4 linked regions of the Mytilus edulis genome follow. The protein of the gene in region 1 binds, or shares a complex with, the protein of each later gene. Links are inferred from orthologs where the notes say so. Each region holds a gene or a part of one and is shown in the gene's direction. Other genes may lie near its edges. The genes, in order: dynein axonemal assembly factor 10-like, p53 and DNA damage-regulated protein 1-like, prefoldin subunit 6-like and protein UXT-like.

Region 1 (7,981 bases):
ATTGAACTTGACCTCTATTTTGTCATCAGTAACAACATATTAAAATTTGAAAAGCTTTGGTTAAATGGTTCATGAGAAAATGCACAGACACGACTGGAAACACCATTTTTCAATCTTTCAAGAACCATAACTCCTGAACGGTAAAAGTCAAAATCGTCATTATTGAACTTGACCTCCATTTTGACATCAGTAACAACATATTAAAATTTGGGAAGCTTTAGTAGAACAGTTCATGCGTAAATGCACGGACACGACTGGAAACGCCATTTTACGATCTTTCAAGAACCATAACTCCTGAACGGTAAAAGTCAAAATCGTCATTATTGAACTAGACCTCTATTTTGTCACCAGTAACAACATATTAAAATTTGAAAAGCTTTGATTGAATGGTTCATGCGTAAATGCACGGACACGACTGGAAACACCATTTTTCAATCTTTCAAGAACCATAACTCCTGAACGGTAAAAGTCAAAATCGTCATTATTGAACTTGACCTCCATTTTGTCATCAGTAACAACATATTACAATTTGGGAAGCTTTGGTAGAACAGTTCATGCGTAAATGCACGGACATGACTGAAAACTCCATTTTTCAATCTTTCAAGAACCATAACTCCTGAACGGTAAAAGTCAAAATCGTCATTATTGAACTTGACCTCTATTTTGTCACCAGTAACAACATATTAAAATTTTAAAAGCTTTGGTTGAATTGTTCATGCGTAAATGCACAGACACGACTGAAAACTCCATTTTTCAATCTTTCAAGAACCATAACTCCTGAACTGTAAGAGTCAAAATCGCCATTATTGAACTTGACCTTCATTTAGTTGTCAGTAACAACATATTAAAATTTTAAAAGCTTTGGTTGATTGGTTCATGAGTTCATGCACGGACAACATTTGATTGCCGCCCGCCCGACCGACCGCCCGGCGTATTTTCCCAAATCAATAACCGACATTTTTGTCACAAAAATCCAGTTAAAAATCAAAAGTTATGATGCACATGGAGTGATTCATTTTGTTCACTTCACATTTGAGGTGTCCTGTGTATTTACAAAATTTAATAATTGCACCAATAAGGAAGGAATATATTTACTGCCTTTTTCAATTTAATGAGTTTTTAGCTATTGGATAGTGTTACCTGTTCTTATTTTCTCTTTTAAAAACTCTTTTAGAGGTAGGCTTCTTCACTTTATCTCCATGTACTACTTGGTTATATCTGAAAATATTCACATTGTGTAAAAAAAAAAAATAACATTGATATTTTACAATTTATTTGGATTTTGTCAATTCCAATCAGCCCACAGTTGGAGTGGGTACACTTTTATATGGTTCAATTTTCTAGACCTATTTCATTTTAAAATCATTCAACTTGAATACACAGATACAATACATTTGAATATGAGTTAAGCTTTATCAATATCATTACAAAATTCAAGGTTAAAGGCCACAGTGAACATGAGTTGGCATGAGTATATTTCAGCTTTGTTACGCTGATGATTTGAGCATCACCACGAACAGAAAATCACAAATCCAGGAATTTTTAAGTTCTTGACATTTTCATAAAAAATTTGAACTGAAGATTTTTTTACACTTTACAAATGCGTTAAAGTTCAAGTACAAGGAGACTTTTTGTTATCTCAATGAAGAATAATATACTTACACTTTTAAACCAAGCCTCTCTTTCAACTGTATTAGTTCTTCAAAAGACATATTTGATAATTCTGAAACCAAATTGTATATCCTATAAATTAATTTGAAAGTATATCACTCTTCTTACCCATCATTGGCATTTAAATTTGGTGTGGAATGTTTTTGATGAAAGTTAATCCAGAAGACTGCTTCAGGCCACCAAATTTATGAAATGTTATTTTCATTTTTCAGCACAACTTTGATACAGCTGCTGGTGGTTAGTTCTCAAGAATATTATTAGCTCAATAGTCATTGTTTTGCAATTGACATAGTTTATTATACATTTCTTAAAACTGTCAGTGTGGTTGACAAATTTAGAAATTATACAGAATCTTCTGTTCCAACTCCTTGAGTCAAAGCTAACCATACATGTATATGGTTTTTATTAGTCTTTTTAGGTTCGAAGCATTTTATGCATCTTTTTCGTTAATAGCATTCTGAGGAAGGCAATTACAGAAAAGTCTTCCATACATCAAACTAATAAATTTAAAATGTAATTTTCATTTCCTGCCTAGATGCCTTTTGGATATTTTTGTTGTTTGGTTGCTGTCTAACTGATGCCTTATATATATATATATGTAACTTACCTTGCTTAACTGTTACCTAAAAACAAAAAATAAAAACAATAACTATTGATTTGATAATGAATGCAATTCCTTGAGAAGACATATTATTTTGGGACCATATGTTGTTTGTTTTGGTTTTGTCTTTGTTTGTACATATAAAATGACCTCTAATTTGTTTTTTCTTAGGTGTTAATGTTACTGTAATCTGTTGTTCTGTCCATTAGGCTTGAAGCTTCCTGTTGATTTTTTTTTTATACTTTAATATTATACATGTAGTACAATTCAAAAGTTTTGTACAAAATATAATTTCTTTTTGTGTCTATCTTTAGAGTAATTGAACAATGACAGTTTGTCTTGTGCAAGTTGTGTGGCGACATTCTTATTTATTTAAAGATAACTGGGAATTATACCTAGCAGTATTCACTTGTTTTAACTCTACCACTTCAGGTCTTGGTTCACTTATAGAATTTCAATGTACATTAAGGCCAGTTTGTGAAATGTATATAGTTTATTGAATAAGATTTCTCCTAAACTCTGAGGCAAACAATATTTTTATTAACTCCTTTCAAACAAATATCTGTGAGAAGTGATTTTAACTAGTAGAAGAAATCACAAATCCTAACAAGTTGTTATTTTATATAATGTCTAAAAATAGCAAAAATCAACATTCAATCTATTTAAGCGTGGATCAGTTTGTGAAAATAAACTATATATATATATACATTGTATAGTAAAGTTGTACAAATGTTTAACTTATGCAACTTATTAATTCTTACTAATTCATCAGCTTCAGCCTCTTGTGCATCTGAACCTTCAGATTCAGATTCTTCAACGGTACTTTCCTCAGATGTTGTATCTGACTCTTCAACCTGCTCTTTCTTCCTCATCATATGTAACTCATCGACTGGACTTTTGGGTAATTTCGACATCTTATTCTTTTTTGCATTATTTACTGAATATGAAGCAGTTGTGTCTAATGTAGATTTTCTTTTCTTGGAAACTGATATAGTGCTAGACATTCTCTTCTATAATTACAATTTCTGCAACAACAAAATTATTTCAAGTTGGATTACTAACACATCTATTTTCATGATTTTATCATGTTTACGTTTATGAAATAATAAGTTTATTGTATGTTCCTTTAATTATTCATGAACTGTTAATTCAATGCTTTAACCTCTTTTTGAAAGAAAATAAATCATTTACGGATATACATGTTTATATCTTTGATTTTTTACTGAGTGTGATAAAGTTTTATTTCCGTGCATAATTTTTTGCCTTTTTATTTCGTGTGCTTATGTGTTTCGATGTTTTATTTATCATTTCCCCCATATTTGGTTCGATGTGCATGCTTCCTTTTTCCCCCTTGTTTGTTTTTTGTGTTTTATGTCTGTACTTATTATTTCTCTGGCTTGTCATGCATTTAATTCAAAGGTAAACCAGAATAATTTAAGTCGACCAGATATGGTATACATGTATTTACGGTATATATGTATATACATGTACTGTATGCAGTAAAGTTTTTTTTTATGTGTTCAAAATTTTATTTCATTCTTATTGCATTGATTGTTTTTATGTTTTTAAACACCTCTCTTAACTGCATTGATTGTTTTATGTTAAGCGCTTAGAGTAATTTTAATTAGATAATGTGCTATATAAATATTGTAAATTAAAGTACATAAAATTACAATGAATCACATTTTTTTTTCCTAAATCTAATACAACTAACAGATGGTAAAAGGCAACCACAAGGTCTTCATTTCTATTAATAATGACTGCATGATCTCCATGAACAGCTGAGTTACATAACTTCTAGCACTATTTTCATTAATATTTATTATTTTATTTCTGGTGCTTATAGCTTTTCCTGATTTTTGTTTTCAATGCAAGTCATTTTTGCAAATTTTATTCCACATGGATCTGTATTCAGAACCATGCACCCTCCCCCCCCCCCCCCCCCCCCCCCCCCCCATCTTTACTTATAGATGGATTTGGTAAAAAAATCAAATTCCTGATGACGAAAGCAACTGAAAGCGAATAGGGTGAACAACAGGGGGACTAGATTTAAGTTTTTACCCTTGGGCAATAACAGGCGCACTAGATTTCCCTTTTGACAAGTCAGCAAAGCTAAGTGACAGACAGGAAAGAGACCTTTTTTGCCCAAGTTGCCTGTCTGGTGGAGGTAAATTTGACAAAATAATACAGGTCAAGAAATCCACTATATAAAGCAAAATAAACATGCACTAATAACTTTTATGTTCTCAACAGGTAGCACCTGCTTCATGTCATTTCTGCTTGCCACTAGCTCTAGCCACTAGGCATAACAAAAATTTATTCCAGCTGCACATGTTTGTTTGTTGACAATATCACTATACAAATCCTTGACAATATCAAATTATTACTAAATCAGTGAATAGTCATGATAGTGTGATGGGGTTTGTAATCACTCTGTCAGAAAATTATCTATCTACATAATATTAAAGTGAGAAATGTTAAAATATCTACTTAAGTGTCATAACAAAGGCAAAGTATCGAGTTAACTGACTTTAGCAGCACCTGTTTTTATTTATAGAGCTCTTCTGCAATAAGGTAGGAAAGTTTCACTTCCGGTTAAAGTTCGCGAAAGAAAAAGAAATTTCATGTTGCTACAAGATTGGGTTTAATCGAATTTCTACAAGTTTTCTTATTTTAAAAGTGTTTTAAAACAAAATGGAGAAGCCACAGATTATTTCCCATGTACAGAAACCAGTAAATTACACATTATTTGATACAAAATGGATTCCGTGTAGCGCAAAATTTATTGTACTCGGTAACCATGCACGCGGAACTGGAGCATTTCAGGTTTATGAAGTACAACATGGTGATGTCAAACTAGTTCATGATGTAAGTAAGAACAAATTTCCCAACTATCTGTTTCTTGTAGTAATGTATGTTGTCTACAACAGGTTAGTCTAAATCTGTTAAATTGGAAAATTAAAGTTGAACCTTATCGCTATCTGTTTGACGAATCCATGACAAATCTCCCACTGGTAAATCCCCCAACACCTAATCGCCTTACTTTTTCACGAAAACCACCCACTTAAAAAAATCGACCCAAACTGGATTACCAAATTGCCCCATTTTTTTTTTTAAATCACCCCACTTGTGAAATAGGTTTAATTCCGTTAATATAACTACTGCCAACTCGCCCCACTTAATGAAAAACGGTAATATTTAGATTCACTTATAATTTTTTATCTGCCAAATCGACCCACTTACATTTTTGTAAATATGAGACTAATCTACACAGAATACAAAAATAAGGAAACTTATTTAATTATAATTATTGACTAGAAATGGGCACATTAAAAAGGGTAAAATCCCATTGAAAATAGGTTGGATAACTTACCCCACTTATGTAAAGGGTTAAAATATCTTTGAAATACGGTCTGGCACCTCGCTCCATTCATCATGTTCATGACAAATAAATAAAACACAATGAATTTAGCAATGCCAACTCCCCCCACTTATGACTACAAACTAGCCCAACATATGAATAAAATAATAAAACTGTAAAGAGTGTAGGTTTTCCAATTCATCCCACTTATGAGAACGTTTGAAATGCATTTTTTTTTCTTTTGCATGGTAAAAATTAAACAGAAAGAAGGTAGAATCAGCATTTATGTGACATTTTTTTCCCTGGTAAATATATTCATTTTTTTATAAAATAAGTCAAGAATCATCTGTGTTTAAATAATTTTATTCTCAGATGATAGGTTTGCACATCTACAAAAGTATAAAATAAAATTGAGAAAGGAAATGGTGAATATGTCAAAGCGACAACCACCCGACCATAGAGCAAACAACAGCCGAAGGCAACCAATGGGTCTTCAATGTAGCGAGAATTCCCGCACCCGTAGGTGTCCTTCAGCTGGCCCCTAAAATATGCATAATAGTACAGTGATAATGGACGTCATACTAAACTCCGAATTATACACAAGAAACTAAAAATTAAAATCATACAAGACTAACAAAGGCCAGAGGCTCCTGACTTGGGACAGGCGCAAAATTGCGGCGGGGTTAAACATGTTTATGAGATCTCAACCCTCCCCCTATACCTCTAGCCAATGTAGAAAAGTAAAAGAATAACAATACGCACATTAAAATTCAGTTCAAGAGAAGTCTGAGTCTGATGTCAAAAGATGTAACAAAAGAAAATAAATAAAATGACAATAATACATAAATAACAACAGACTACTAGCAGTTAACTGACATGCCAGCTCCAGACCTCAATTAAACTGATTGAAAGATTATGTCTTCATCATATGAATATCAGGTACAATCCCTCCCGTTAGGGGTTTAGTATCATACTATCATAAAATATATGAGAAGAACATAACCCGTGTCATGCCAACAACTGTTTTTTTAGAAATAAATGTGTTTAGTTCCATATGCATAACGTTTTTCATTAAGTGGGGCGAGTAGGCAGGAGTAATATTAACATTATTAACGGGATTTAACCCATTCACAAGTTGGCGATTTTTTAAAAAGAGGGGCGATTTGATAAACCAGTTTGGGGCGATTTCCTATATAATCAACCACAGTTTTTTCCATGAAAAGGGGGGCCCTGGATCCACCTATGTTATTTTTTGGTACATGTATATTCAAGTGGGTCCGTTCACTTCCAAAACATGTTCACACCTCACAGGTTTGCTCCTACCCATACCTCATGTACCTGCCAGGCCAACTGTCACTATTTGCTGGTGTTTTACCCCATGGAGGCGTATGCCTACCCACAATTTCCCATGCTGGTTTTCCAACCCCTGGTGTGAAAAGTCTAATATACATTGTACCTAAAACATGTACAAGCAAGGATCAGAATTTTATGTGTTGGTTTTGATTATATGTGGTCTAATTTCATTTTCATATAATAGTTTTAATTAAATTTGACCTGTCACTCAGTCTAAAAAGTAAATGGAAATTTTGTTCATTTAAATAGTCATTTAAAGATGAAATACATGTAGATTTTATTTTGATAATTTTGCTATTTGGTAGTAATCATGTTTTTTTTTCTCTCAAGTAAACTGAACAATACATTTATTCCATTATATCCAGACAGATAAACCTTTGTACAATGTATTATAATATAAAATCTTGTGATACTCTCATTAAATGCATTACAAAAAACATACATGTACATTTTATATATATATATGAATCTGCTATATAATTTTTATTAACAGATTGAGAAATCAAAAGCTTTGAAATGTGGAACATTTGGAGCATCAAGTTTACAGCAAAGATATTTTGCAACAGGAGACTTCGATGGAAAAATGCAGATATGGTTTGTAAATTAAATATTTTTAATGTATTACAAATTACAGATAATCTTATTTGCTATAAGAAAAAAAATACAATGTCCCTAACATGCCTAAGGCCTATTCAAGATTAAAGAATGCTGACTGGTTTGCTCATAGTTAGAATAATGTGTCAAGTCTTTCTGTGGACTTAAAATTAAGCATTTAATTTGTTGCTTGACCTAAACATCAATGTGTGAACATTTATCCTATACTACTTGTCCCTTGAAACATAAGACAAAAAAAACCCCAAAATCCTGATGGTGAATTTAGTATATCTGGTTTATATGTTTTATTGTTGTTTATAGGAACCTAGAGTCAATGGAATTACCTGTATATTCTGTGAAAGCCCACAAAGAAATTATAAATGCTATTGATGGAGTTGGTG
Region 2 (7,955 bases), on another chromosome or scaffold:
ACTGATCTGCCATGTAGTCAAGATAGAAAACAGAAGAACTGAAGAATACCATTCACTGAAACTTTTTAGAAACTATTTTTGATTAGTACAGCATTATCAATTCTCACTGAAGTTGTGATTAAGAAGTAGAATAGAGAATAAAGATCCAGAAATCTACTAAAGGATTTGTATAATTATTACTGTATTACTGTATTCTTTCACAACTAATATTAAGTAGCTGCTGTGAAGTAAGGTAACTGCTGCAGAAAAAAATGAGTTAGGATTAATGGCTGCAGTTAAAACAAAGATTTGATCAAACATTATTCTTTTTAGGAAAACATTTTGAACTTTGTATACATTAAAATAAATTGCAAGCATATGTAGTATATGGTTTTGTGATTCGCTGGTTTTTGTACCCATAGCTTTAATTGATCCTTCCGTCCTTATGATTTACAGATCAAGTTAGTGTTTTGTTCTAGGGAACATTATTGCCCTTGAACAATTCAACATAGAAAGTTTCATTAGTATTGTTAGTGCTTGACTTTATTGTAATATTTCCAGATTTTTGGTATGTTATTGTTTAATGATAACAGATTATTTTGTGTTTTGGTTGGATGAAGTTTAATGGCCATTTGTGTTTGAATTTTACATCTGTTGACTGATATTTTTACACTTGTTGACTAACTTGTGGGTCTCATTGGGGTCTAAATATGATGCCAGATTGCCGATTTTTTGTAAGCGTGACAAGTGAAAGTCAAATAATTGTGCTGGGAAAACAGGAAATGAAGTCTAGCGGGACATGGGAAATTACAAAAAAAGAATTGCTTTCGTACATAGTGTAAGCGGGATACAGGAATCTGACAAAACAGTAAGTGGGGTCAGGGATCAGAACCCCCCAGTGAGACCCCCTAGCTATTAACTGTAAAAAAAAATGTGTTGAATTTCTCAGTTTTGCCTAAAAACCAAACTATAAACCAATCTTTTTAATGCACAAAAATGTATTCAATTTTTGGTACCAGATATTTAGATACAGGGTAAAAAAAAATACGCACTTAAGAATTGAGGAAAATAACCTAAAAACAGACAACACAATATATATATGTATTTTTTAATTTAAGTACTGTTATTAGTTTAAGGAAGCTCGCTTGTCATGTTTTGGAATTTTGGTCAGATTTTCGGAATCCTCTGGTTTTATCCATTTGAATGCCTTAACAAAATTTTCCCGGTGACCCCAATTTTTCTTTTTATAATTCTTTTACATGTATAATGATAAGCTGTCTGTTAAAGTTTTATAAAATTTTAATTACTTTTTAATAGTTTTTGAAGACTTAAACTTGTCAATGATAAAGCTATGAAAAGTCAAGAGAGAACATTTTCCCGCCAAAATTTCAATGGCTAATATTTCAAAGACAAGCACGGTGACCTATATATTTTTTTTGCTCTTTTGATTCCTTTATTAATCCCATATCAATATATGCTAGTGTTTTGAAAAGTTAATTACTTTGAAACTGAGAAGCCAGCTCCCTTAATTGGTTTATTTCATTCTTATTATTTGCAATTAATTCATATTTTTATTCAATTGTACTGAATTGTTTTATTTTGTTAAAAGATTAGTAGTTTTCAGTTAGTTTTCTTTTATGCACCTTATATTGATATTTTGTAGGACAAACATATATAGAATAGAATCATGGATTTAAGAAATTGAAACTATTTTTATGTACATGCATAATATTAATCCTCTCAGTGCCATATTATGTAGTTATTTGATATAGGTTGTTCTTTCACAATTATAAGATTAACTTGCATTCTAATATGACGTGCTTCTTTCGCTTTGTAAACAACACCGTGATAAAATTCTCGATATATCTATACTTAGCGCAGACTCCAAGATGTACACAAATGGCTGTTTAAATATGCCTCCCACGTAAATCCACATGTATCATAACCTATGTGTAAACGGTTGTGGATTTCGCTGTGTTGATTCTGATGCATAACAAAAAGAATTTACACATTAGAGAACGGAAAAATGGACAAAAACAAAATAAATTAAAATTCCGCGAAATTCCAGTAATGATTCTTGCGCATTAACGTCATTTCAAAACATGACGTCATACGAATGAAAACGCCAAAGCTGAAGGTTTTTCTATTGCGTTTACCTTCTAAACTCGGATACAATTGCATTAAAATAAAGTATTGAGGTAGGTGTTGCTTGTTTTCTGTTCTATTGCATTATTCGCACATTTACTGATTTCAGCAAGTCAACATGGCGACTCCTTGGTTACAACATGTCAACAGTGAATTTGACGGTAGCTTACGATAAAAAATGTAAATTTAAAATTGCAAATGTTGGGTTTACTGAGAGGTGAAAAAAAGTTATCACATTTTTTTTCTAGCGGTTAGTTAAGAAATCATTCATGCAGGTTTATTAGATTTGTTTTACATGTATCGAACAGTGGGTTAAATAAAACAGCCACACACACAGTATACCCATCATCGCTTCAGTTTTTAAATGATCGTATTTGTCCTATTAGAATCGAAATAATTCATGGAAGCCATAGATTTGTTGGAAATTTACACATGGCCTGAGCCGTGATATTCGTTAATTTTATCCCTCGCTAACGCTCAGGATAAAATTCGAATATCACGGCCCAGGCCATGTGTAAATTTCCAACAAATCTATGGCTTCAATGAATTATTTCTTAAATATTAAGTATGTTTATTAAATGGATTTTGATTGGTGCATCCATGAACTTAAAATAGAAAGTAAATAGTCTTTGATTTTTTTTCTTATGAATTTTATGTAAATGGATAATATTTTGAGGTTCTTTCTTTTCTGTTTTTTATGAATTTTAACTAATATTGTCCCAAAAAGAGTTCTTGTTGAAATTATGAATTATGAAAAATGAAAACAAACCTTTGAACATTCATAAGTTTGATGATGAAATTTTCATTAAAATTGGTTGAAAGACGAGTTAAAAGTATTTCTTTTAGAAAATTTACAAATTAGTATAGAATGATAAAGGGAATTATTGACAAGGGAATGCATTTGTTTAAATACTGTATATATGCTTGTACAAGACAATATTTATGAGTCTGACACAATGGATTGGTCTGATTTTTAGTTTTATCCTAATAATCCATAATTTGGCAATTTTTTTTACTAAACAACTAAATTATGATTTCCCAATACAAAGTTACCAAGTTTTTGTTTTTTAAATGTTAGACCGCCCAAGACAGACATAGAGATGAAAACAGTTGTTTTAAGAAAAGTCATTAAATGGTTGCAATCATTCAATAGGCTATTATAAAAACTTTTTGCAATATATTCTATCATTAAAATTTACTTCATATTAAAAACACTAATGTTGCATATAGTTTAAACACTATAATTAAATGTATCTTGCTTCTTTAATTATCATGTATTGCCAAAATATATTAACACTACTTATGTATTTTTTTTGTTTCTAATGACTTGTTACATATTTAAATTGTTGAATAGTGAATAAAATTAGTTTTTTACAGAAGTTGATTTTATCTTACTATCCTCCCAGTTCTCATTCAGAAGATTCTATGAGTCCTTTGGACTAACAATTTCAAAACAGATTCAATGAGTTAATTAGTTAATGAGTGGATGTAAGCATTTATAGGTATCTCTATGGCCTTCAATAATTAGAAAAAAACATACCGTATAGTCACCTATAAAAGGCACTGTCATAAAAACAAAATATGAAACCTTTCAATTAAGAAAACTAACGGCCTAATTTATAACAAAACAATTTACAAAAATAAAAAAAATATGACAGAAAATGAACCATAGACCTCCGCTGAACAAACATCATTATAGTACAAAACAAGAACATGTGTCAATAGAACACCATTCCCTTCATACTTTATCACTCTTAAGTTCTAAAGCCATTAGAAACAAATACTTTCTCAAATAATTTCTACTAAACTGCAGCTGAGCAGAAAAAGAAGTATCATAGACTGTTATAACCCCCTCAGTGGTCTCATATGTGTTATGGAATGTGGAGGTTGTGGGTTAGAATCTATGACAGGTCAAAATAAAGACTTCAAAATGGGTATTTGCAGCTTGTCTGCTAAGCAAATAGCATTTTAAATAAGTAAAGAGCAAAGACTGGTCATCATGGAGTCGGAATAATGTGCAAAGTAGGGTGTCATGTCTTTATGCAGCCATAACAACCATTGTGTTAGCCTAATACAAAACAGGGTTAAAATTCATATTACATTACTATGTTTACGTCCAGATTATGCATTTAATTTGCCACTCATCATTAGCATTATAGTTTGTTAGCCAGATAGAGCAATTCTAACTGACCAAGTCAAAGAAGATCTCCAATTGAGTTTGATATCCTTTAAACTACTATTTATACAACAACTTCCCCTTTTTCTTCTTTCCGTGCATCCTATACAATTACAGACCTTTGTTGGCTGTTTCAGAAGTAGTTGCTTGCCCATTATTAGAATTCATGACGAGGACTGGCCTGATAAAAAAATTCAACATTGAGACCTAAGGGATTGCTCTAATGGACTAAAAAGAAAAATCACAAAAATACTGAACACCGAGGAAAATTCAAAACGGAAAGTCCCTAATCAAATGGCAAAATCAAAAGCTCAAACAAATCAAACGAATGGATAACAACATTCATATTCCTGACTTGGAACAGGCATTTTCTTATGTAAAGAAGATTCTACTTATAATTCAACAAAAACATGTTAGGCACCCTTTATACCTTCACAAGTATACAACACTTGACTTGGAAACATTTAAGGTTTATTTAAATCAACAGTTGAACTACATAAATATGCAAAGAACTAGTTACTGGTATACATTAAACAATTCATTAAATATTTCTAATTTGTAAAAAATCACTTAATAAAAATTTCAACTGCACTTTTTTGGTTACACTGATTGTCACATCAAGAGGGAATAACTCTAACTGTTTCTACTTAGAGTTATCTCCCATAGAAAATGGCAGCCTCCATGAACAGAATTTGTTCAGAGTAAAAATATGGTTCTAAGCAGTTTATAGACGTTTTTTAGAAGTAATACACACTAATATTTGAAGAAAAGACGTATGTTTTGCTGTAAATTGAATTGTTCATGTTACTATCTTATGACAATGTTTAGAATTAGTGTAAATCGACGATTTTCGACCTTCTTTTACTGTTATATTTATGTACTTGTACTACATGTCTCTATGTGACACTAAAATGATCTAAAAACCCTTTTATATATCAAGAAAAATATTCTTTTTTGGCACCTTCAAAGGTTTCAAAATTTGTCTAATCATTGACATTGCTAATCATGCTAAATGTAGATTTCAATATATCCTGTTGGTCATTTATTTTAGTACAAAAAGCATTGTTTACTATTTAAAAGAAACAAGGTTTTCATTAGGCATAAATGTTATATATATCTGTATGTTGAATCAGTATTTTCTGGAACTGTATTGTCTTAACCATGATTGTTGTGAAGATTGCATGTATCAGCCCCTTTTGGCGTTTGAATCCAAAGTAAAAGGATCATAAATTGAAAGCTCTTCGTTTTATTTACAATATATATATACTTGTCTTTAGTCCCCCAAACCTAAGTCAGGTATATCGCACAAAGGACAAGCAGTATTCTTGGAGATTTAGAGATTTATTTCTCTGGCTTGATACACTAACAATGGCAAACTGAACAAGTTTTTTAGTGAGACTTTAGGGTAAGACAGGGTATTTTCGGACATCTCAGTATCTTCAGACAGTTGGTTTTCCATTATCTTTTAATCATCCTATAAAAGATGTCAAATGTTTTTTTATAGCTAATTAAAAGAGGAGTATTTTCCCGAAAACAATTGTTTATAAAACGACTGTTAAATTATTGTGTCGAAATAGTATATGTGATCCGTCATGTGACATAAACACCATTTTTCAAAATCTTAGAACATAAAACTTCCAATAGAGATCTTCAGATTTATCCAAAATACTAACTGAACCTTAGAAGCCATTATTATTATGATTATAAACAGTATCCTTTTCTAATGTCAATTAGTAATTTAGCATTTTCTAGCATTAAAGTAAACTAAACTTTTTCAGTTTCCAAATATACCCTGCTTTAGATACATAAAGGGTTGGGCATATTCAGTCACTTCGTTTTTTGGTATTAAAACACAGCATTTGTACCCTAGAAAAGAGTGAAAATAAAAATTATGGCTTATTTGTTTTCCAATGTATCACTGATATGAATAAATATTTTTTGTTCTTGGGCATACTTTTTCGGAAAAAAACCCAACATAATATCTGAATGACTATTTATCGATTTTATTGAAAAGGAAAGGCAAAACATTAAACAATTATTGACTTTTGATGAGGTTGATACAATGTTTTATCAACCCAAGAGATATGACATTTACCGAGGCCAACGGCCCAGGTTGAATTTCATATCTCTGGGGTTGATAAATCATAGTTTCAACTGAAATAAAAATTCAACAATTGTTTTATTATATGACTTTTTACCCTTCACCAGTTTTCTAGTATTTGCTCAGATAATCACTTCATTTAAAACTGATCCTTGATTTTTTACTAAATAATTATAGTAAATATATCATCTGCTTTAGCCAATTCTCTTAAGTTGAATATTTATAAAATTTACTAAAAAAATACATGAAATGATTATAATGAATTATAAATTATAATCTAATTTCCTGCCGAAATAAAAAAAAATTATAAGTATTTATATAAATATAGTTTACAAAACACCATATACAAGAGAAACCTAATAATAAAATATTTGGTGCACACATTCTCTAATATTTTGCTTAACACATGTATTTAGATGTTTAAAATTTGTGGGTAAACTCTACAAAAGAGAGATAGGAATGTCAAATTTTACACAGTTAAAAATTCTCAAAGTTGAAATTAATGAACTTTTTCAGAGGGAATGGTACTTTGAACATGATCTTGATTATCTGTGTTTGTTAATTATCCAGCTAATTAACACAAATTCATATGCATTCCACCAGTTATATGGCAATATCTTGATGAGAAAAGTGAAGAAACATGTATCAAAAGTTTGGTGTTTCTTTCAAAAAGAATCAGCTGTTTAGTGTCAGACTCAGACAGAGAATACCTAACAAAATTGAATGACCAAATAGTCCAATAAAACAAGTTACTTAGAATTTATAATTTATTTTTAAAAATACTTATACAATCAACCATTCATATAGACGACTCATATAGAAACGACTTCTAGGTATCTAACCTATATACTATAGTATACATATTTATAAGTAACAAATGGCTGAACTGGAACTGTTTGCAATGACACTGTACATTAAATAACCCTCCATCATGTCCATCATCATGATCATATATTTATACTGACTGTTTTGATGCTAACATGGACAATATTTTGGTTTATGTCACAAAATTGGGTAAGAATAACACTGTCCATGAATTAATGTTAAACTGTTTTAACACATTCTCAGAACTATAATATTGATGCATCATACTCATGACAAGAAATCAATTTTAGCCATAGTATAAATGTCTCAATTTTAAAACCATGATGAAAAAAAAACCAATACATTCAGGAATATTGGAATGAAAAACCCGATTCAATCTTTGCCTGAGGGGAAAACTTGTACTGATGATGCAATGATATAAAAATTGAGGAGCAAAATTAAGTTGATGAGTCCTCAAATTAATATAAAATTCAAAAACAATGCCAATGAGACAACTCTCCACCAGATATCACATCAAATTTTTAGCAACTGTAGGTCATGGTACGGTCTTCAACAATGAACAAAACCCATACAGTTATAAAAAGCCCTGAACTGGCAAATGTAAAACAATTCAAACAAGAAACTAAAACCATGAACTTTTAACAAAACGATAAATGAAAAACAAACAGGAAAACCAATGGTCCATTCTACATTAAAACAAGAAACAAGAAACACTTCATTGGCCCCATT
Region 3 (7,920 bases), on another chromosome or scaffold:
AAATATCCACTACCTCATATATCATTGCAAGGATTTGTATAGTGAGAACTATAAAAATCCTTGATCATTGTATATATAACTAAAATACGCATTTAGTTAAGAGAAAAATATATATACATCAACCCCAAAAAATGTGAAATAATTAAGTAAATATTTCTGGACAACCCCTTCCTTATTTTTACTGTTTTTGCTTAAATTACTGTTAAAATATGTATATTAAACAAATCTATAAACATGGGTGCCGAATTGACTATATAAAGTGCCGATTTAACCAGGTGCCAATTTGACTAGGTGCCGATTTGACTATACTGAGTGCCGATTTGACCGGGTACCGATTTAACCAGGTGCCGATTTGACTAGAATTCAATACAACTGACAATGACTGATCACCCAGCTGAATATGCTCTAAATAAAAACAAAGCAATTAGTCAAAAACTTGATGCCTCAAATCGAACATTCTCAGTAGTCCCTAAATTTAGTCCTGGTAACTTAGTGCTTACATTCACTGCCGGTGCCTATGAGGAATTTAAAATCGTGACCTTGAGTGTGCTTCAGGGTGAGGGGCTCTCAATAAGAAGGACTAATACGACCGACGTAAATAAAGCAGTAGTCTCTGAATCTGTCGTTGTCAATGATGCACAGAACAAACTCTATGTATCTGATGTATTAAACTTTTACAATACCTCGTCAAAAGTAGTTTTGAATGGTAATCAGCTACATATGTCAGTTTATATTTCGTCAACCCTACCTGATATCTTGAATGTATTAGACCATAACAAGGATTTCATAACAATTAACAGTAAAATCAGACAATGCTGCACTGCATATCTTAACTCAAATCAGACTAGTTGCACTCGACCAACTGACATTAATACTAGTATTCAACAAGATCAGTGTCAACATTCTAAACTAAATAGTGCTTCCGCATCTTTAAAGTCACTAATAAATGCTTCTGATCAACAACAAAATGACTACTGTCCTATATGTGAAAATCTTTGTAGTTCTGACAATAAGGCTGTTGAATGTGAAATCTGTAATAAATGGCTTCATTATAAATGTGAAAATCTTACTGTTAACATGGTTAAGGAGGTTGATGAGATAGAGAATGATCTTACACTTCAATATAATTGTAACAGCTGCAAAACTTTAAAATCATTGCAATCAGATCTACTTGTTTCTCATTTAAAACATGCTCCGTAAAACACTGGTATTCAACCAACCACAAGTATACGGTCACGTTCAGAAAATAGCAATCCTTCTACAAACTTGAGTCACCCCACAGTTCTGTGCTCCACTCCGCCACATTTAACTAACTGTAACATACATGTATACCTATTCCTTTAACCATCAGTGCCATTCCAATGACAACATGTAATAACACTAACATTTTAGAAGAGGAAATAAAATATTTAAAATCTCAACTTGGACTAAAAGATAAGCAACTTAAAACCAAAGAATTGCTCATTTGTAAACAAGATTCCGAAAAAAAATTAATGAAAAAAGAATTGGCTACTGACAGAGCCCTCACTATTAAATTAGAGCAAGATGAAAAGGATCTTGAACATTCCTTATTGATAAAACAACAAAACCCTAGCAATACAGTACATGAACCATCTGCGTCGAGAAGATAATTCTAGATCATATGCCATGGAACAACGTGTGTGTTCATAAGAATTTGAAATACTTAAACAAGACAATAAAATTTCAAATTTAGCTGATAAATTCATCGACTTTAAAATAGAGAATGGACGTAAACAACCGAGAACACGAAAGAACAAACAAAATGTGACCAATAATCAAACTGCTGACTAGTTTAAGTATGAGAAACCTTCAAATGACTCTTGTACTAACATTTTATTTGATTCTGAGCTTGAAATGCATGATGACGAGGTAGGAGATGAACAATCTCCTGTTCATAGTATACATGGTATATCATATACTGAACAGTACCCTTTTTTAGGCTAAGTTCGTGCGCCGAAAAGACACCTGCCACATATGAATTATTCTCCACCAAAGAAACCAATGTACATGTACCACCCTCCTCCAACAAGACAGAGAATTCCGAATCATGTCCGTCAACCAAATGTCCATCGACAATACCAAGTGATCCCGAGATTTCAGAACCAGAGTCCACAATTTCACCCTCGATTCAGTCTAGAATTTAACATCACATTTGTTAAACAGTCAGGGGACTTACTTAAATAAGTGATTTTCTAAATCACTGATTCAAGTAACATTATTTCCATAAAGGTTGGAAGTTAGAGTTGTCTTTCTTTAATAATCACCTATTTAAGTAGTACAAATTAATCACTAGAAGAAGTGATTTAATTTTACTGTAGCTTTAAATATAGAATACTAATGACCCAGGGACTAATTATGTTTCTAAACTTATCAGAACCAACATCTGTGTTGTCTAGGATGACCAGGTCATTTCAGGTGATGACCTTGTACTGAATCTAGGATAATGACATAAAAATCACTTGTTTAAGTATCAGACCTCAATTTCCTTCCCAAAAATCACTTCTTTAAGTATCATTCTTTTAATTTATAACCCCCACTAATTTCAACACCCCCGAACAGTGAAATTTTTATCGCGAACAGTAGAATTTTATTACATAATCTGAAAGATGAAACCTTGAACTTCACAAGAAAAATACTGCCACTGCTGGAAAAAATCTTTTAAGAAAGTATCAGTTCATTATGTAAAGCCATTATTATAGCATTTTTTCAACTAAAATAGAATTTAGCATCAAAGGCATAAACCTTGCTACTTAAAAGAAGCAAAAAGTTCATTTTTTTAAATTTTACTAATTAAAAGATATTATTTAAACCTATGTGTTTAAAATTTTGAAAAAACTACAAAATCCAAATTTGTGACAAAACCTCGAATTTGCTACTCAAATAAGTGATTTTAAAATCACTTATTTCAGTAAGTCCCCTGACTGTTAAATATTTTATCTTTTAACATTGAAGGCCTGACCTCTAATTTAGCGTATCTTTATAAACTTATTAAAAGATCTGATATTATTTTACTTCAAGAGCACTGGCTCTATAGCCATGAGAAGGATAATTTGTATAATAATTTTACTGATTTTAACTGTCACATAAAATGTTTTGACGATGGAATTATTGATGATGTAGTTGACAGAAAACGCACACATGCTGGGGTCGCAATTTGCGTAAATAATATATAATCCATATTTGGAGAAACTCCCTGATGGAAATAATAGAATTGCCGCAATATGTTTGAACTTTGATGTACCTCTGGAATTCAGCGGAAATCCACAAAAGAATTCTTGGTATCTTTAAAAACAGTATTGATAATGATAACTCTGTCGAACGTGACTTAGCATTCCGTCAACTTGCAATGAAATCCAAGTCATGAAACAGTTGGTTTCGTAAAATAGTAACTATCACAGAATTATATGATCTACCGTCACCTCATGATCTACTTGTCAGCCCTCCTTCAAAGTCTAAATGGAAAAAAACTGGTTAACTCCTCTGTAAGCTACTACTGGATAATTAAACTAAAATCTGATGTGTCAAAAAAATGATCTTTAAATCTTTCAAACTATGACATGTATGATGATGCAGAATTTGGAAGCATTCATCCTATTTGGAATACTTGTGGATCTGAACCTTACTCTACGTTACGTGCCTGCATCAAATCCAAATTAGTGTGTAATACATACTCTTCAATGCGACAATTCTAAATTTAGTAAACGACAAGTCAGTGCAATTTGTCCGTTATGTGGAACTGAGGAAGAGAACCGGGTACATTTTGTTTTGAGATGCAGTAAATTAAATAATGCGAGAAACAGCTTTATACAGAGTCTAAAAACTTTTATAAAAGATGTTGTATCAACTAAACTTTACGATGAACTAATTTGTTCCGAAATTAACACTTTCATGACTTTACAGTTAATTATTCACTAGAGGACTTAGCTGCGAAAAAGTAGCTCTATAATTGTCCTTTGATTTTTTTTTTGCCATATCAAAACCTTTAAAAAAGAATTTGTAACTATTTTTCAATTTAAAAGTCCGCAAATATCAAAAATCATCAAAAGGATCTTAAGAGCTACGTTTTCGCAGCTATAGAGAACTATGCCAACAGGCCTTAAGATTGAGGATTGAGGCAGGTGGATCGACTTTATTGAGGTAGTACTAATGAATCAATATCAATCAGCTTTATAATGAAAAAGTGCTCAACTGTGACAATTGTTAATTTGAAATGGGGCAACAAACATTTTGAAGTCCATTGACTTTCCCTCCAGTTTCTGATATGTATATTCATGGGATGTACTTATTCTCCTGAGTAAATAGAGGTGGTGGTTAATGTGTATAAACAAACAATATTAGTGCATTGGATTAAATGACAATTTAAATGATATTCACACTGAAAAGTGGGTCGTCTGATATAGGCGGAACAGTACAGACTAAAGTAAAGTAAGTAAGGCAGCAACCATTTGATTTTCTGGGGGGGGCTATGGTTTTTTTTTCTGGACAAACTTTTTTTTTTCGCCTACGGCGAAAAACAATCTATTTTTTTCGCGACAAGTCGAAAACAATTTTTTTTTCTTTCAATTTTAGCATTACATATAGTGGCAGCTGAGGGTGAAACAAACTTTTTTTTCCAAAAAAAAACCATAGCCCCCCCCCCCCCCCCCCCCCCTAAAGTAAAGTAACTCATAGTCTGACATACATGCATACCACATCTTATTATTTTGAAATATATGACAACTATTGCAAATGATATTTTAATGAAAAATATTATTTGCCTTGACACACAGTTTGAAGTTATTCAAATAAACATAATTGTTTAACCTTTCTTATGCCTGATGAATTCATTTTGTCAGTCAAATATTAGCAGCTCTCATTGAAGAAGGTGAGTTTTATAATGTTAAAAGTAAAAGTAGAAGTAGCAATGCAACGTTTAATTGGATTGGACAAGTGCTCTGAAATTGACCAATCAAAATTAGTTTGCCAGAAAATCTCTTCTGTTTCAATATGGCCGAACTTCAGAAACGATTGCAGAGCGATATAGAAAAATATGACGCATTCCAGAAAGGTAAAACTAATTACAAATTATCTTGATGACGATAAAAAGTGTGAACAACACACTGAGATAATTTGATAAATGTCCATCTCTATCGTTTTATACGTCCAGCTATGTCATAGTGTCAGTGAAGTCATGTTTTTATATCCATGGTCACAGACACACATGTTTATAATAATTTGAAAGGTAAACTATTCTTATATAATAGATCGACGTCGCCTAGTGCCTGGAATCTGGGTCCGTTCGCGCCCATTCACTTTCGCACACGATCACGTTCGCGCCCTTTCACTTTCGCACCCTACACGTTCGCGCCCAAGTTTTATTGGTTTTGTGTTTGATAACTTTATAACCAAGTTTTGGCAAGTGTATTCATATTAGTATATTTGTTTTCATTGTCTCAAAATAAAGTGAGACAACGTGTTTTTTGTGTTGAATAAATCTTAATCATAATTTGCCGGATAGTGTATTGTTAAAATATTTTTAATCATTTAAATAAAGTGAGATTCTGACGACCGGGATTTTCGGGTGGAATAAATCTTAAATATTAATCAATTTTGGTTAGTGTATTGCTATAATTTTTTTATCTATAAATTGTTTCAGGTGCGAACATGTAGGATGCGAAAAGTGTATTGGGCGCGAACAGACCTGATACCTAGTGCCTGTGTCCATGATCACCATGCAATGGAATTCGTGGAAACAAGAGGTTTCGGTCTTTGTCGTTTCGTCCATGTGCTAGTCCCATTTATTTATTAATACCATTTATTTATTAATATGAGGTCTTGAAAGAAGTTCTGGATTGGGGTCCTTCAATTCTACATTCTTTACTGTTTTTGAAAAAATTTCGGTATTCTTTAAAAAATTTGCCCATCATTCTTCCTTCTAGTCCGAATAGTTATGAAGTCTGGCGAGGCTATATTAATTTTTTTCTGGGACGCCTTCCTTTGAAAAATTTAAAGATAAGATAGCCTTGCCAGACGTCATAATTATTTGGACTATCTCTCTTCTAAATATTTTATATGATGACGTATACACTATTCTTTAATATTTTAGTCTATTTTTCTCTATTTACTTTTTTTCTCTTTATTTTAAACTTTTTGCCCATTATTCACTCTTCTTTGCCTCTTGTTCATGTTGTTACGCTTTTTCTTCGAAGATGTCCCACAAAAAAATTAAAATAGCCTTTCAAGATCAATTATATAGATAGCAATGTATTACATAAATGTATTAAAGTAGTTAAAGGTAAAACTTTTTATAAAATTCTACTTCTGTCATGTCTGTACAGGATAATGGCCACAATCAACTAACTGAATATTTTGCCATGACTTCTGTGCACATACAGACCCCTCCCCACACTGTTTTTTAAATTAGTTCAGCTTTGGCACCTAGGCTTTGAAAGCCTCAACTGTCAAATTATGCTCATGATGCTGATAAAGATACATATACACTAGAATACACCCGTGATATCGCGGGTCCGTGACTGAATTAAAGTATATAACTATGCGTAAGCCTTATTTTAATATTGGGATTGTCATCTGATAAAGTCATGCCGATTATAAGACGCACAGTTTTCTCTGCTTTCAAAATTTTTCTGTTTGAACACGTCGACCTGGAACTTATCAATTATTGGTAATATTAATTATTTGGAAAACAAAAGGTCCTGGAATGGAGTATTTTTTAATCAACAGCATTGTCCTATATAAATAAAGGCAACAGTAGTATACCGCTGTTCAAAACTCATAAATCCATGGACAAAAAACAAAATCGGGATAACAAACTAAAACCGAGGGAAACGCATTAAATATAAGAGGAGAACAACGACATAACACTAAAATGTAACACACATAGACAAAATCCCACGAGAATAACAAATATAACATATATACATGTATATAACATCAAAACCAAATACATGAATTTGGGATAGACAAGTACCGTGACACGTCTTATCGCAATGTGAATTTACACTCAAAAATGAGAGAAAGCAACCGACACAACGTTATAATGTAATACACACAGAAACGAACTATAATATAACAATGACCATATTCCTGACTTGGTACAGGGCATTTTTAAAGGAAAAAATGGTGGGTTGAACCTGGTTTTGTGGCATGCCAAACCTCACACTTTTATGGCCATGTAAAATATAACATCAAAATGACAACACAGGACTACAATATAAATAAATTGGAGAACACAATTGACAAAGAATCACACGAACAACAGCCAACAAAAGGCAACAAGTTCAAAATTTTAATACGCCAGAAGTGTATTTTGTCCACACAAGACCTATGTGTGACGCACAGATACAAAAGTTTGAAAGCCGAAACGAGTACAAAGTTGAACAGCATCGAGGACCAAAAGATCAAAAAGGTTGTGCCAAAAACGGCAAGGGTTTTCTGTTAAGTTACCAGAAAATCCCTATAATTTAGAGTAATTTATACTTTTGCAAACAGTAAATTTAATAAAATGAATATTCAAAAAATGTACATGATAAAGCTGAAGTATTAACTAATTACAGGAAACAACTGAAATACATTTACATAACCAGACATTATAAGTTATGCATATATTGGGGATTTTGAATCTGTTCAAAGTTTTGATTTTTCTACCCTATATCATGTATATACCACTTTGCCTCATATTCTTATTAAGAAAAAATTCACATCCCATATTAACTAGGCATTTAAAAAGTCAGAATGCGAGTACATATGTTCAAACTCTTTTAGGTCATTTTTTAGTAGCAATTAACAAATTAAAAGAACTATGTCAATTGGACATGCTTTGATACTATATATGCCCTTGAATTTTTGCTTGATAACATTTTTGTTCGCTTTGGAGATTCCGTATATCGTCAAGTTATTGGA
Region 4 (7,888 bases), on another chromosome or scaffold:
TATTCGAAAAACGAAAATTTTATTTACCTGTAGTTGAAACAGTCGAAACAAGTAAGCTTAATACTTCTTTCCTTCCTACCATTTTGAAATATTTTTCTTGAATGGCATTTAAAACCCGTGACCGAAAAAAACACAGTGGACTAAAATACACCGTTCTAGTTTAAATATAATCAGATCACTTAGTATAGGAAGCCTACGTTGTTTACATATACAATATTTTGCTTCGTCATACATTACATGTACATATTACACATGTATGACGCGATTGTCATTTTTGATCATTCTAACCAAAATGTGTGAATCTGAGAAAAAAGACATTGATATATTAGAATTACTTTAATTGTTCAAAAAGTTTACCAACAATAGTGACATATGACCTCGAAGGCAATATTTCGAACTTTTTTTTATATTTGTTTTCTTGTATTTACTTTTGACTTATAAGCTCTTGGTTATTTTTGTTTTTTTACGATAAATGTGCTGCCCGAGGTCATATCTGATTAGCCAAATATCGCGTAGCAAAATGAAATTTCCAAATACAATTTTTGCTTAAATTATATTGTCAAACTTACTTTCAACTTATTAAATATTCGCCTTCCCGATTTTTTTTAACCAGCAAACGTTAGAAATGGAATTAAGTATATATATGCGGAGTCACATGTTAATTAGGAAAAATAAACTATTAAAAAAGTAACCCTTCGTGGTGCTATACGATCGAAAATGACAAATAAGTGGGGAGAAAAAAGTCAAACACCTTTTTAATTTACTGGAACAATGCAAACTAAAAAAAGTCTGACCAGGTTAAATTTGGTACATATTTATTCCGATCCCTGCATGCAACTTTTTTTAAGAATCGTTTTATATATAGTCAACAAAAGAAACGATACACGACTTTTTTTTCAAATTAAAGATGAAGTTTTCCGTTTCTAGGACTAATATTGAAGGTAGTAATATTTAATGACCATGGTAATAAATCCGTTTAAAAAAAATGTTTTTTTGCTCTCATGACGTCATTTTGCGAAACTTAATTTTTTTGACAAAATTTACATAAAACGATAATTTTAAAAACAGAAGTTCCAACTAATGATGCCAACCTCTCATTTAAAGATAAAGACAATGTTTGCCATAAATTCTTTTTTAAAAATCGTACAGTTTCTTTGTTTATTTGTAAAGCAAAGTTCGGTCCAACAAGAATTCGTTTAAATGTAAACATTATCAATTGATTTACCATTGACAGTATGTGTAAAGTGAATTTAAAAAAAAAACCGTTAATAATCTTAAAACTAATCCGAAAGGTTCAAAATTTCCAGTGTGCATTTTTTGAGATTTCAAAAAACACTTTTTTTTTTTACCAAAAATAAAAAAAAAACAATATTTCAACCCATTAGTGAAAATATGAACATTACTTGATTAGCATATATATTGAATATTTTTTAAACAAATTTGAAAATTCATTTAGGACTTAGAAAATTATGTGTCGATTTTGTGTCCAACTTTCCGCAAAAATAATTTGCACCCTTTGATCGTTTACATGGAATTTAGTTACTTTCCGACAGGTTTTGAATTTCATTATCATATGTGCATATATTGCAAATGAAAGCTTTTTAAAATAGTGTATCTCATTTTGTTTTAGTTTTAATACTTTTTGATAAATTTTTATTCTAAAGTCGTGTATCGTTTCTTTTGTTGACTAGTATATATGACAAGGTTGCACATTAAGGATTAAAATATCTAGTGCTCCTCTTTGATGTTTAGATGGTCTATTTTACAATTAAATGTGCAAATATCACGGCTTTTAAAACTATTTGGGTAAGAAATGCAAACATTTTTGCAAAATTAGTCAAGATGCAACCTCCTAAATCTGCAATTTTCTTCCCGGCGATATTAAAAAAATTGCAGACCTGTTACAGTGAGCTTGAAATATAAAATAATTTTGGATGCAAAATATCTTTTTTATTTTTGTTATATATACTGAGACATGAATATTCAACAAACATCGTCTTGTCTTTTATGCAGGTGCGTTGCAGGGATAAAGGAGTGAATTTTTATTTTTCTGTTTTCCACCACCATATAAGCATCTATACAGAGAACGACATACGAATATGGTCGTTGCTTGTCCAAAACACACTTCATGTAGAAAAACCTCACTCAATAATCTTAACTAGCTTTCAAAAAACTTTGTTAAAGATACAAAACTATCAATTTGCGGAGGCTTGAAACCTTCGAACGAACATAATGTTCATTTACAAACATGTTCAAAATTTCACCAAAAGGTCACAAACAGATTTCATCATCACAGAATTAATAGTGTATATGACTTTGTAAATTTTCGTTCTTTTTTTTTTTAACCTACAATAGCTCCAGCGTATTTTATTCTATTAAGGTAGTATGGGTGTCTTCCTCCATCTTGGATTGTAAAAAACAGAGAACCCAAGGTCCAGATTTTTTATCAAGTTAGCAAAATTTGATGCAGGAATGCAGATATTTAATGTGAATTTTCATTTAAAAGAACCAATTTATAAGAATATAACTTATAAATATTAATATTTTTGCTAGTGGTGATTATTTTTGGTTGTTTTACAAAAAAATTAAATTGGCATTTAAGGGGATGTAACTCTAAAACAGTGTATTTTCTGAAGGATTCTACATGGAATTTTCCTATTTTGTATTTTAGCCAAAATAAACGTACGGTGACCCTATCTTTTTTTTGATTTTCTCAAAGCATTGTCTGAAAGCTATCTTTTCCTTAAGTATTTAACAATTCTATCATTTTGTTTAGTTTCTAATCACAAAATGGTGTTTTTCCCTGTATAATCCATACAAAATGTGTCATTTTGTCACGTCCTGTAGCTTGAGAAAATGCGCGGTGACCTATCATTTTTATTATATTTTTCAACATATATCATTAGATACTACGTTTTGGCAAAGTATGAACAAATTCTATCATTTTTATTTTAGACTCCCATACCACCTAAAACTGTTTGCTTTACATGCATGTTCATAATACCATTATTGTATTTATTTATATTGTATTATGGAGAAAAACTGGTATGATTTACTTATGTATAATCCATGTTGCTTTAATTTGGCAAATAAAATATGTTTCAACTAATGTATTAATGTGGCCGTCACATAAAACTACAATTACAAAAACCATAATTTAATTTACTGGTTTGACGTGCTATTGTTTTAACAATGGGGCTAATTTGATTTGTTGTGAACTGTTACAAATACAAAAATAAAATGTTCAACATCGATGTCCGACAGCAAGCTAACTGACGATGTCACTGATTAATGACAATTAAGAAGGTAACCCATATTTATGGAACCACGAAATGACAGAAAGACCGCGGACTTCAATAATTACAATGATGTTAATAAATACGCGAAAGCTTCCGATCTTTACAATTTTCCTTCGTGTAGAGCTATTTCCGATTTGTTCAAGTTCCAACCTTGAAAAAAGTAAAATGAATGCATGACCCTCAATTGTTCTCTATATATCCTTTAGTTAGTAAGTGAACTTCATCCACACATATCTTTTAGTTGGTGTGTAAACTTCACACACAAATACTTGTTTTTAATTGTAAGGGGTAGCGTTCCGCATTACAATTTATCGGCATGTAAACAGACTTATTTCCCGAAATAAGGATTGATTGACTATTGGTTGCTAAACGTTCAGTGACAAATATTTCAATCATGTTCAGGACGAGAACAAATTAACAAACAATCACACTAAAGGAAGGTCCTCTAATAAAAGCAGTCCGGATGGAAGTCGGAGAAATTTGGGCTAACACAGGAAAATATGGGTATATCAGATAGGAAAATTTAGCCGTGCAACTGGTCACCTTATACGGATCCCACAAAGAGTTGCTGCTAAGGGTTATTAACATACAAAAACGTGGCATCTCTCTTATACACGAGGCATCCGATTAATTCAACGTCCTCATTTTTACTGGACGTTGCTGCGAACTTGTACATCCTGCACAGCCAAATGGAAGCCCCACTTTAGTGAGAGTTTTACTGCCGGTCTTTGGAAGACCAATGGTGACCATATGTTTATTCCCTAGTCACCATTGGGGGTCTTTCCTGGAAGAACATGTTGAAACTAAGGATTTGGATCTAAACTGTTTCAAATATTAAGCTTTGAGCGTTCCTTGTGAAGGTAAATCAATGAAGCGCTTCGGACAAATGGAATCTCTAACGTGTTGTTTTTCTATTTTCCCGCAGTCCTGGATCGATACCTCTGCTGATGGACTATCAGTATCCGGGGTAAAACCAGTTAGTAGTCGGTACTTTGGTAATAAATGATCTATAACACACCTTTCTAAATTTGTCCGTTTATAAATCGTAAAGAAACTAAGATTTCAAAACCTACAGCAAAAACGGTTGAGCCAAGTTGATTTTTATGTCCTTTTTAATCATATAGCTCCACAGTGATAGCTAGCCTCCTCAACAATTTCCGTTATTTTGTCATTTAACTTAAGGGCCGCGAGAATGACTTCTCTAAGTAGTCTGACAGTTTTGATCTAAATGACCGATTGTCAAACTCAACATTCTGAAAATTTCTGCCTTGTCAGATTTTCTATATTGACAATGGTTGCAAAATTGCAGACAAATTTTCCCTATGACCTATGTTAGCCGTATGTAAGCCATCTTCAATGGTCGGACACATTTTTAAAACTGAATACCATAATGAAGATTGTGGGCAGCCAAGACTTCTAAACCTTGACCCAGTAGTTTCAAAGGAGATTTTTTTTGTTAAAGTAAACAGACGACGATGGACGCAAGTGATTTGAAAAGCTCATTTGGGTCCGGTGAGTTTTAAATATGTAATAATACCGCAATTTGTCATCCATTTCGGTAACAGTTTTGTTATTACTTTATTGACTTCCGGTGTGTAAAATGAAAGTAGAAAACGCAAGTTGAAATTAAAAAAACATGATTAGTGCAAGAAATTATGATTGATGTCATTATCTTATATGACGGAATATATTTTATGATTGCAAACCATTATGTCTAAAGAAGAAAATCAAACCAACATAAGAGATAAAGTTACACAATACGAAACGTTTCTAAACGAAAAGCTTAGAAAAGATTTAAGGTTGGCATGTACAGCATATCATATATTAATATGTAAACTTGCTTCTAATAACTCTACCTATGTTGTGACAATACAGTTGTATCGTATTGTATTCATCTTATTTTTTTACCACAAGATTTCAATCTTACATTCACAGGGTCCTCCATGACCATGGCATGGTCGGAAATGGATACACTCAAAAATTTTACCATCTTAAGAGGGTAATAATGGGGTACCTCCATGACAAATAATGATTAAAATGTTACCAAATGACTTTAACAGTCATGCCGATAAAATGTACATAGATAGATAGATATAGGAAGATGTGGTATATTAGACATTATTAGACATTATTTTATTAAACCAATCATGGGCCCTTGTCGGGCAAGATACAAAAACATCATACAATGATTATATAAACATTAGTGAAATACACAATATTATAAGTAATACACAAATAATAAATTGATGATATGAGCAATGTAGGATATAATTAAGGTAAGAGGCATTGAGTGCAATGAGGTCGATTTAATATTAAAAGAATATGATATAAAGTTTATTAATACGGAAACAAAAAGTAAAAATAGAACCAGGAATAAAGTGTTTCATTCTGCAGTAGTTCTCCTCACGACCAGTGCACAGCAGTTAGGGACTTTTACATCACAACAATGCAAAGGTCATCAAGGGTATAAGTCAGAGGCAGATTTAGGGGGGGGCCCAGGGGGCCCGGGCCCCCCCTTTTTGGGAAAAAATTTGGTTGCTTATATAGGGAATCACTGAAGCGTGACTGGAGCGGGCCCCCTCTTAGGTCAGTCAGTGGGCCCCCACTTATGAAAATTTCTGGATCCGCCACTGTAAGTGCCAATGAGACAACTCTCTATCCAAGTAACAATTTATAAAAATAAACCATTATAGGTCAAGGTATGGTCTTCAACATGAGCTTTGGATCACAGCAAACGGCAAGCTATAAAAGGCCCCAAAAATACTAGTGTAAAACCGTGTTCAATTGGACGGTAAAAATATTGACTAATTTTGACGAAACATGTTAAATTTTGTCCAAAATACCAGTTACAATAATAATTTGAGACCTCTGACGTGTATAAATAAGGATATTTTGATGATTCACAGAAATCTTTTAACTGATTTGACACTAACAGTAACCAAAAATGTTTGACGTCTGATGGGTAAAGGGCATTAATACCCTCTCTTCAGCACAAGCAAATTTAACAATATATTAAAATTCATTGTACTGTTTAAGAAAAAAAGAGTCGCTGGTCTAGCCACATAACCATATACTCCTTCGTGCTGTGATGATTTTCTAGGTAAACATAATTGAAATTAGTTGTGAAATTAGTAAAGTAACCCCTCACGAAAGAATTTCCTACTTAAAAACATTTATAGTCAATAGTTGAACATGTTTATAACATGAAACATGACATCACAAGCTCTACTAATCTTTAACAACAACAATAAACAAACTTTAGGTATATATATACATAAAGCATAATGCAAAAATAGTAATAATATACATGATATACAAAGACACAAGCAAACAAATGTTACAAGCCAACATTTTATAATAGGAAGCATGAGTTTACACTTTTATCTTCTACAGGCTTCATCCACAGAACAATGAATCAGTCGAGTAGTCTAGGTAATATTATTGTATTGTTAATTTCATAGTGAAATGTTGTATTTCCATTCTTTCAGTAAACTATTAGAGCAGAGGGATGAAGTGTACAAACAAACAGCTGAATATCTTCAATTAAAAACAGTTATAGAAACAATTAAGGTAATTATGTTCGATCATCATATATGACCTTATACATGTATTAAGATAAATGTATTATCTCTACTACAGGAATGTAATTGTCATTGATAACAGATAAAACAGTTAATCATTTGCAGTCATTTTGTTCACAGAGAGCTCTTTTTGATTCCCATCAAAAACAGATTGAAAACAATTCCAAATATCTAGCCTAACCTGAGAAAGAAGTGATCTTTCGAAAAATACTGTATATTAGGAAAGATATGAAATTTGAATTAAAATCGACATTATGCAATAAAAAAACTACTATCATGAATATGGTTCAGTCCCTTTTGGAAACTTGTCAAGAAATTTTAAAGAAGAAGTCATTCATCTTCCCAGTAAGGCTTGTAGACATAAGCAGTGGCGGATCCAGAGGGGGGCGTAGAGGCCCCCCCCTTTGCTTGGATTTTTTTTTTTTGTGGAATGATTAATTAGAATAGACTTTGTGAACTTTGCCATTTCCAGTGTATTTAATTTTCATGCGACAATTCTTTACTTATAAAGATATTTTTCGCTGGTATTTACTGATTATGTCAAAGTCATGTGATTCGCTACATGGTGGAGTTGATCAGTGCGTAAAATAAAACGTCACTTAGTTATTTTGAAATTCAAATTACAGTAACACATTGCTTATGCTGAGTATGACAACCACGATACCTTCAAAGCGACACTGATTTGAACAAGAACGTAGTGACGTCTATTTCACAATTCAACCAAACAGAAAGTAATGTACTCTATTACACTCTCATGAAAAAAAATCCACAGCAATATTATTTACCTACGAAAACATGTTTAACCCCAAACGCCCCAGCCTATTTAAAAATAGCGTGATAGCTGAATAATGATCCCCAGTCAGTATAAGCTCTAGATAGATTTAAAGTCTAAGGTACGAACCATTTGATTTAAGGAGGCAGTCTAAGGTAATTGAGAGAAAAATATCTGACTCGGATTTTTGCATTAAATAAAAATTCTGGCCGTATCTGGATTGAAAACAATAATCT

Evidence for each region.
Region 2: dynein axonemal assembly factor 10-like (region 1) and p53 and DNA damage-regulated protein 1-like share a complex: the UniProt entries of both Homo sapiens proteins name them as parts of the PAQosome complex. The link is inferred for Mytilus edulis from reciprocal best matches to the Homo sapiens genes DNAAF10 and PDRG1.
Region 3: dynein axonemal assembly factor 10-like (region 1) and prefoldin subunit 6-like share a complex: the UniProt entries of both Homo sapiens proteins name them as parts of the PAQosome complex. The link is inferred for Mytilus edulis from reciprocal best matches to the Homo sapiens genes DNAAF10 and PFDN6.
Region 4: dynein axonemal assembly factor 10-like (region 1) and protein UXT-like share a complex: the UniProt entries of both Homo sapiens proteins name them as parts of the PAQosome complex. The link is inferred for Mytilus edulis from reciprocal best matches to the Homo sapiens genes DNAAF10 and UXT.

The regions. Positions count from the first base shown.
Region 1 is NC_092346.1:9,760,877-9,768,857, reverse strand, and holds the start of dynein axonemal assembly factor 10-like, read left to right. Parts: upstream 1-4,966; coding exon 4,967-5,140; intron 5,141-7,479; coding exon 7,480-7,580; intron 7,581-7,901; coding exon 7,902-7,981. Other genes in the region: ribosomal RNA processing protein 36 homolog, read right to left, coding at 1,141-1,218, 1,663-1,723, 2,279-2,294, 3,034-3,276. UniProt on the Homo sapiens protein: Key assembly factor specifically required for the stability of axonemal dynein heavy chains in cytoplasm.
Region 2 is NC_092352.1:12,758,781-12,766,735, forward strand, and holds the start of p53 and DNA damage-regulated protein 1-like, read left to right. Parts: upstream 1-4,943; 5' UTR 4,944-5,043; exon of another isoform or gene 5,044-5,085; intron 5,086-7,955. UniProt on the Homo sapiens protein: May play a role in chaperone-mediated protein folding.
Region 3 is NC_092345.1:388,787-396,706, reverse strand, and holds the start of prefoldin subunit 6-like, read left to right. Parts: upstream 1-4,909; 5' UTR 4,910-5,007; coding exon 5,008-5,068; intron 5,069-7,920. Other genes in the region: surfeit locus protein 1-like, read right to left, coding at 4,825-4,848. UniProt on the Homo sapiens protein: Binds specifically to cytosolic chaperonin (c-CPN) and transfers target proteins to it. Binds to nascent polypeptide chain and promotes folding in an environment in which there are many competing pathways for nonnative proteins.
Region 4 is NC_092344.1:98,263,555-98,271,442, forward strand, and holds the start of protein UXT-like, read left to right. Parts: upstream 1-4,878; 5' UTR 4,879-5,009; coding exon 5,010-5,098; intron 5,099-6,787; coding exon 6,788-6,869; intron 6,870-7,888. Other genes in the region: uncharacterized protein, read right to left, coding at 28-82. UniProt on the Homo sapiens protein: Involved in gene transcription regulation. Acts in concert with the corepressor URI1 to regulate androgen receptor AR-mediated transcription. Together with URI1, associates with chromatin to the NKX3-1 promoter region.